Schizosaccharomyces pombe: one gene and its partner. Each later gene encodes a partner of the first gene's protein in a complex. Each region holds a gene or a part of one and is shown in the gene's direction. Other genes may lie near its edges.

Evidence for each region. Proteins that work in one complex are often made in the same cells at the same time.
Region 2: vps15 (region 1) and atg38 share a complex: the UniProt entries of both Schizosaccharomyces pombe proteins name them as parts of the autophagy-specific vps34 PI3-kinase complex.

The regions. Positions count from the first base shown.
Region 1 is NC_003423.3:723,332-727,087, forward strand, and holds the start of vps15 (serine/threonine protein kinase Vps15), read left to right. Parts: upstream 1-1,962; 5' UTR 1,963-2,011; coding exon 2,012-2,097; intron 2,098-2,149; coding exon 2,150-2,277; exon of another isoform or gene 2,278-2,351; coding exon 2,352-2,929; intron 2,930-2,986; coding exon 2,987-3,756. Other genes in the region: copper chaperone Sco1, read left to right, coding at 428-1,219. UniProt on the Schizosaccharomyces pombe protein: Functions as a part of the autophagy-specific VPS34 PI3-kinase complex I that plays a role in autophagosome assembly. This complex is essential to recruit the atg8-phosphatidylinositol conjugate and the atg12-atg5 conjugate to the pre-autophagosomal structure.
Region 2 is NC_003423.3:207,965-211,672, forward strand, and holds atg38 (protein Atg38), read left to right. Parts: upstream 1-1,794; 5' UTR 1,795-1,837; coding exon 1,838-1,861; exon of another isoform or gene 1,862-1,957; coding exon 1,958-3,208; downstream 3,209-3,708. Other genes in the region: alpha,alpha-trehalase Ntp1, read left to right, coding at 1-1,321; protein mug168, read left to right, coding at 3,547-3,708. UniProt on the Schizosaccharomyces pombe protein: Functions as a part of the autophagy-specific VPS34 PI3-kinase complex I that plays a role in autophagosome assembly. This complex is essential to recruit the atg8-phosphatidylinositol conjugate and the atg12-atg5 conjugate to the pre-autophagosomal structure.

The DNA.
Region 1 (3,756 bases):
TTCTGATCCTTGACGAAATTCATATTTTGTGTCTATTTTCATTCGTATTAAAACTTAGATTACATTGAAATTACAGCATTGGAGAAGCGGCTATATGCATATGAACTCTTTAAAGGATTAGCGATAAAATTACGTTTTTTTTGAACGCTAAAATGTTTGCAGTAATTTTGGTGAAATTCTATTTTCAACGTCTTCATTACCACCCAAATACCCATACTGACGTGAAATTGGACTAACTTGGAGAGGCTTATTCTTTGTGAGAAATTGTTTTCTCCGTTTTGTATTTGAAGAGACAGAAAAGATTTTAAATTTTTTTAAAACTTGCTAGTCTTGGTTATACTTTTGTTACTGTTTTAACTTCAGTTTTTTGTCTTGTCCAAATATTACGATTTTTGAATCGATTGTTGGCAATCACTCAAATCAAGTAATGTTTCGAAGGGGTTTAGTTTTCTCTAGGCATTGTCATTACAGCTTGATTCGTCCTCGATTTCCTTTGAATCGTACGTGCCTAGCGCGTTTTGCCGACGGTCGCAAAAATCTAGCTACTGACAATCGAACGCAGACATACCAATCATGGCGTGGAATGATTTCTATAAGAGCATTGCTTCTTGCAGCTGCAACAAGCGTTGGCCTTTATGCTTATTTCCAACATGAAAAGAAAAAAGTGTTGGAGAGGCAAAACGACAAGGTTTTGGCTACCATAGGTCGTCCCCAATTAGGAGGTGCTTTTTCTTTAATTGATCATCATGGAAATCGAGTTACTGATAACGATTTCAAGGGAAAATTTTCCTTAATCTACTTTGGTTTCACCAGATGCCCCGACATTTGCCCCGACGAGCTCGACAAAATGTCAGCAGCTATTGATATTGTAAACAATGTTGTTGGAGACGTGGTTTATCCTATTTTCATAACCTGTGATCCAGCCCGTGATCCTCCGCAAGAAATGGCTGAATACCTTGAAGATTTCAATCCTAAAATCGTTGGTCTCACAGGATCCTATGAAGAAATAAAAGATATTTGTAAAAAATTCCGAGTCTATTTTTCTACCCCTAAGAACATTGACCCTAAAAAGGATGATTATCTGGTTGACCACTCGGTATTCTTCTACTTGATGGATCCAGAGGGTAAGTTCATTGAAGTATTTGGTCGCAACTCTACCTCTGAAGATTTAGCTCGTGCAATCGGTTCTTACTATTTGTCCCGAAAGAAACAGAAATAATTAAATACCTTTAGCCTTTCATGTGTTTTGATTTTATGCTGGGTTACTACTTTTTCCATATTCACTAATTTTTACTTAATACTTTTAAAAACAATTTCCCACTATTTTCTGGCGGTACACAGATTTATTTTCTTTTTCTCTTTGATTCGTAAAAATGATTTTGTTGAATCCTAGCTAGAGAAGCGCTGCGTTCTGGTTTGAAATATTTCGACATAAGGGGAAAACCCCTTTCTGCAAGTTTATTCTTACTGGAAATTTAAAAACGTGTTAATTTATTACTATTTTTAAAATCCGAAAAAATTGAATATTTTGGAAGGTGTTTATGATACTATCTTTTCATATCCAAAAACCCTATGCATTTACCTTTAACGCAAATAAATGAAGAAACTGATTTTACCATTACTCTTATTTAAATCAATTTAAAATATTTAATAAAAACAATTCATTATGTATCTTCATATAATGTACGAAACCCGTGTGCGTTTTACATGTTAAAGTTGTTTAGCTGAAATATCTCATTGGGAAAGTCATCTGCATGCATGCAAAGAACTTTTAGCTTCTCCTCGATATCTATTTAAAAATAAATTTGCTCTTATCTAGTAAAGGTATTCACTATTTTCATTGCTATTTACAATTCATCTATAGTAGATTTAATCTTCAACGATATAAGGATATTTACAAATATTGTTCGTTATACCATTATTGTGATTTTTAAAGGCCCATCTCATCTACGACATTGCCTTAGCCTTTTTACATTTAAGTGATGCCCTGTGCAAGCAACATTTAGGACCTATGGGGATTCAGCTTTCCACTATCCAGACCCCCCAATTCCATGAATTGTTCGAGGAAGAGCTTCCAGAATATCACAATGAAAGAAGGTAAGTCAAAGAATTCTTATTCTCCCAGCAATTCTAACGTTACGAAATTTAGTCTAGGGGATTCACATTTTTTGCGAACGTTTCGCATGCAAGATCGCAAGGGATATGATGTTTTAATCAAAGTATTTGTAAATAAACTTCCGGAAATTTCGTTGTCAAGCATTGTAAATTTGTTGAAGGGTAGGTCATTTGTTTATAGTCTCATTTACGCGAATCGCATCAATTATGGGAATAAAGACTAACTAAAACAACAGAGGAGCAAGAGAATATCTCATATAGAGTGCCAAATGCCGTACCCTATATAAAAACGTTGGTTACGCTTCGCGCTGCCTACCTGGTGCGTCCATACGTGACTCACAATTTGTATGATAGAATTTCTACTAGGCCCTTTCTTGAGTTGACTGAAAAAAAGTGGATAATGTTTCAATTATTAAAGGGAATTTCCGATTGTCATAGACTTGGTGTTTGTCATGGTGATATTAAATCGGAAAACATTTTAATTACTTCTTGGAATTGGGCTTATCTATCGGACTTTAGCTCTTTTAAACCTACTTATTTGCCAGAGGATAATCCTGCTGACTACGGCTATTTTTTTGACACTTCATCTCGAAGAGTCTGTAATATCGCTCCCGAAAGATTTGTTCCTGCATCGCAATTACAACCTGCTCCATTATCGCCTGCAATGGATATTTTTAGTCTTGGATGTGTGTTTGCAGAACTGCTTTTGGAGGAGTCGCCTCTTTTTACGCTTTCTCAGCTTTTTAGCTACAAGGCCCATGGGTCTTACGATTTACAGTCTGTTCTTGAGCAAATCGAGGATAAGAGTACCCAAGTAAGAAATCTTATATAGAATTCATTCTACGTTAGTTTACTAACATAATACTTCTAGAACATGATTCTAAGTATGCTAGACAGAGATCCCAGTCAACGATTGTCGGCTGATGCCTATTTGCAGAAATATCGAGGAACCGTTTTTCCTGCATGCTTTTATGACACTTTGTATGATTACTGTATTGGTTTAGTCGATCCAAGCGGAATTCTTTCTGCCAAGCAGCCTAATGACGCTTGCAGTTTGTATGGTTCTCGAATTGACGACATTTACAGAGATATTATGCCCCCAAATAATAATGACATTTCAAACCTTATGCACACCCCTCATGAATATAATGGAATAGATTCTTATTCTGTACCCCTTTTTACCACACTTGATGAATTTTATAATAAAAACCCTGCTGCCAAGAATTGGTATCTAAGACTGTATAATACTATGCAAGAAAAAAAAGGATTTGAGGATAAAGAGCAAGGTTCCACACCTGCACCTTCTCCTTCAGTCATTGAGGATATTTCATCTATTGAAACGGATGAAAATCATCTTTATGGTGCCGCTGTTCTTCTTCCCATAGTTCTTTCCACTATTAGACACGTGAATACAAGAGAATCTAAGATAAACGCTTTAAGTTTGGTGCAAATTTTATCAAGGAACATCTGCGATGAGTCCAAACTTGATACAGTTTTACCTTTTGTTATGACTTTGCTTCGTGACCAATACGCCGATGTAAGGATTAGTGCGCTTATTACGATTACTCGCCTAGTTAGTAATGTAACCTCTATTGCTCCGATTAATGCATTTCTTTTTCAGGAGTATTTATTTCCTGACCT
Region 2 (3,708 bases), 520 kb from region 1:
ACTGGGTTTGCTTGTTGACGATCGGGTTGACTTGGCGAAAGGTATGGTGGAGAATTTTATTTTTGAAATTACCTATTACGGTAAGATCTTGAATGCCAACCGCACTTATTATCTTCTTCGCTCCCAGCCTCCATTTTTGACCGATATGGCCCTTCGAGTTTATGAACGTATAAAAAACGAAGAAGGATCTTTAGACTTTTTGCATCGGGCCTTTTCTGCGACTATAAAAGAATATCACACTGTTTGGACTGCCACTCCACGACTGGATCCCAAAACTGGTCTTTCCCGCTATCGCCCTGGAGGACTCGGTATTCCTCCGGAAACTGAAGCTTCTCATTTTGAGCATTTGCTTCGTCCTTACATGGAGAAGTATCATATGACTCTTGAGGAGTTTACTCATGCATACAATTACCAACAAATTCATGAACCCGCGTTGGATGAGTATTTCGTGCACGACCGCGCAGTTCGCGAAAGCGGGCATGATACTACTTATCGGTTGGAAAAAGTTTGTGCTGACTTGGCCACCGTGGATCTGAACTCGTTGCTATACAAATATGAAACCGACATCTCACATGTGATTTTAGAATATTTCGATGACAAGTTTGTACTTCCAAACGGAACTATAGAAACTTCTGCCATTTGGGATCGTCGTGCTCGTGCTCGTCGTGCTGCAATGGAAAAGTATCTTTGGTCAGAAGCTGATTCGATGTGGTATGATTACAACACGAAGTTAGAAACGAAGAGTACTTATGAAAGTGCTACTGCTTTCTGGGCCTTGTGGGCCGGTGTGGCAACTCCCCGTCAAGCCGCAAAATTTGTTGATGTTAGTCTTCCCAAGTTTGAAGTTGCTGGAGGTATAGTTGCTGGTACAAAGAGAAGCTTGGGTAAAGTGGGTCTTGATAATCCCAGCCGTCAATGGGATTATCCTAATGGCTGGAGCCCTCAGCAGATTTTAGCTTGGTATGGATTGATTCGATACGGATATGAAGAGGAGACTCGTAGACTTGTATATCGTTGGCTATATACTATTACTAAATCGTTTGTTGATTTTAATGGTATTGTTGTTGAAAAATATGATTTGACCAGACCAGTTGATCCACATCGTGTTGAAGCTGAGTATGGTAATCAGGGTGTCAATATCAAAGGCGTTGCTCGCGAAGGTTTTGGATGGGTTAATGCCAGTTACGAAGTCGGCCTTACATTCTGTAATTCGCATATGCGTCGGGCTCTTGGTGCTTGTACGACTCCTGATGTTTTCTTTGCCGGCATCAAGGAAGAATCTCTTCCTGCTTTCGAAAACCTTTCCATTCATAAAAATTAAGTTATCGTTTGCTTGAAAAAAATAATCGACTTTGTCTACTTTTTTAGTTGCCTTTAGCTTTATTCTCTTATTATGTTATTTTGGTTATCGACCGGTTAAAACCCATTGTTATGTTACATGTTATACCTTCCATTAAATCCTTCTACTATGAAGGTTCTATTTGGCGAATATTCCCTTACGAAACAATAGTTAATTCTATTTAAATTTATGAGTAAAGCTTATCACCAGCGATATTATTACTTTTTTACTTAAAAGAAAGAAGTAGTAAATGAATTTTTTACCTTACGATTCAATTCTAATTTATAATTTCCATGATAGTACTGTTGTTGCAGTTTTAGTCCGAATATAACTCTAATGTTTAATTTGGTGTCTATCACTTTATTAGTTTTTTTTTTGAAGGAATTGTCTTCTAGAAACTTATTTTGAGTTAATGTACCGTATTATGTCGTTCACATTTGTAGACAACATAAGTTGGCCACTTCCTTACACAACAACAGTATATTATTAAAATGTGTTATGGTTCGATATTCATTAAGAAAGGTAAGAGATGCTTAAAGAGATAAGGATATGAGTAAATTTAGTGTTTGAAGTTCGTAATTATCGTTCGCTTTTGAATGTGAATGTTAACAAAATTAGGCGCATGAATACGCCCGAGATGGGGAAAATCAGGAAGTTTTGGGAGAAATTTCACAAGCAATTATGTATTATGGATTAGCAAAAAGTCAGTTTGAAAAGATATGTCAGAACACAGCTCAGCCTCTTATTAAAAGATGCGCAAATAACCAAATCGAAGAGTTGATGGTTCGTATACGCGAGTTACGAGAATCATTGCCAAACAAACAAACACCAATATCAATGTCAATGTCTACGAGATTATCACCTATGTATACTTCTTCATTAACTCCACGATTTACGTCCAATTCAATGGTTTTACCAGGTGATCATAATACTACTGTTCGACTAAAACCAAGCTTTCGTGAAGCTTTAATGGAAGATTCTGAGGACGATTTATATCAAATGTATTCTAAATTCGAAATGCAGGTTAAAAAGCTGTCAACCAACTATGGACTTGCAGTTGCTTTTTCCATCGTTCCCATGGATGATGATCAGCCATCACCAAGCATATTTAGCTCCGATGAGAGTTTTTTGATCGTAGAAGGTGATGATTTTTCTCTTGGTAACAGCGTTGAAGAAGATGCCAATGCAACAAGCAAAGAAGATCCTGCCTATCAGAATACGAACGAGCAGATTCAACCGCTATCGAATTTCGATATAAGTCAACAAGAATATTTAAATAATACAAGGATTCCATATGAAAACGAGGATTTACATTTACAACACATTACTCAAGGAACTACAGATGATAACAATGTATCCAAGTTTCTTATTCCTTCATACAATGATGCTAAGGAATTATCTGAAGAGGAGATGGGAAGAAGTCATAAAAGGGAAGAATCATTTAAAAGAGCATTTGGTCACGCATCAAGTAGCGAAAGTAGTATTGGAGAGATTACGGATTCTAGGGAGGATATTCAGTCAAACCGTCTTGTTAACGGCTCTTGGGAAAATAATGATTTTACTAAGGAAATAAACAATAACTTCCCTGATAGATCTGAAACGCCAACGCTCCAAACAATTGAAGCTCCGACCAAACTCATGAAATATACCAGACGCAAAAGTCTGTTTCGGTTTCCATTTTTTCGTTCAATATCTGGAAAGAAAAAAGAGGAGCCTATGGAGTCCGGAACTGATTCACTTGAATCATCTACGGCACAGATTACGGTCGATTCTCAATTGAAAATCAAACAGCTTGAAACACAAATCGCAACTTTACAAAAGCAACTGGAGCAATTTCAAACCAGTACTCTCGATCAAGATCTTCACTAAATGTCATTACTCGATTTACTTATTAATTCTTTAAAGAAACGGCAACTGATCGAAAATCAGTTTTCAAAGCAATACATTATGTTGTCTCTGCAAAATTCTGTATGTTTCGTTAAATTGTGCCTTAGTTTTCCTTTTGAAGAGAAATGCATGGGGAGGCAAAATTACGATGACATGGTCTGTGGCGAGCCATCCTTAATGGAATCAATACTTATTTTGGCTTAGATATGTTCTCTGCGCATACCATTATATTTGGGATTTTACTTTCTCTTTTTACCACCTGAAGTTCTGAAATAAATTTTTACGTGCTTCTATAACTGAATTCGACTACGAAAACTAGGATGAGGATGGATGGCTCTGATTTTGAAGATCGAAAAGTTAGTAAACCGAGCCCGGTATTACCTTTTGATGTTAGCAACATTGGTGATTTGAGTCAAGGGGTACACTCACCGTTGGGTATTTCGCATTTCGATTCCAAAAATCCAACGCCATTTGGCAGATCA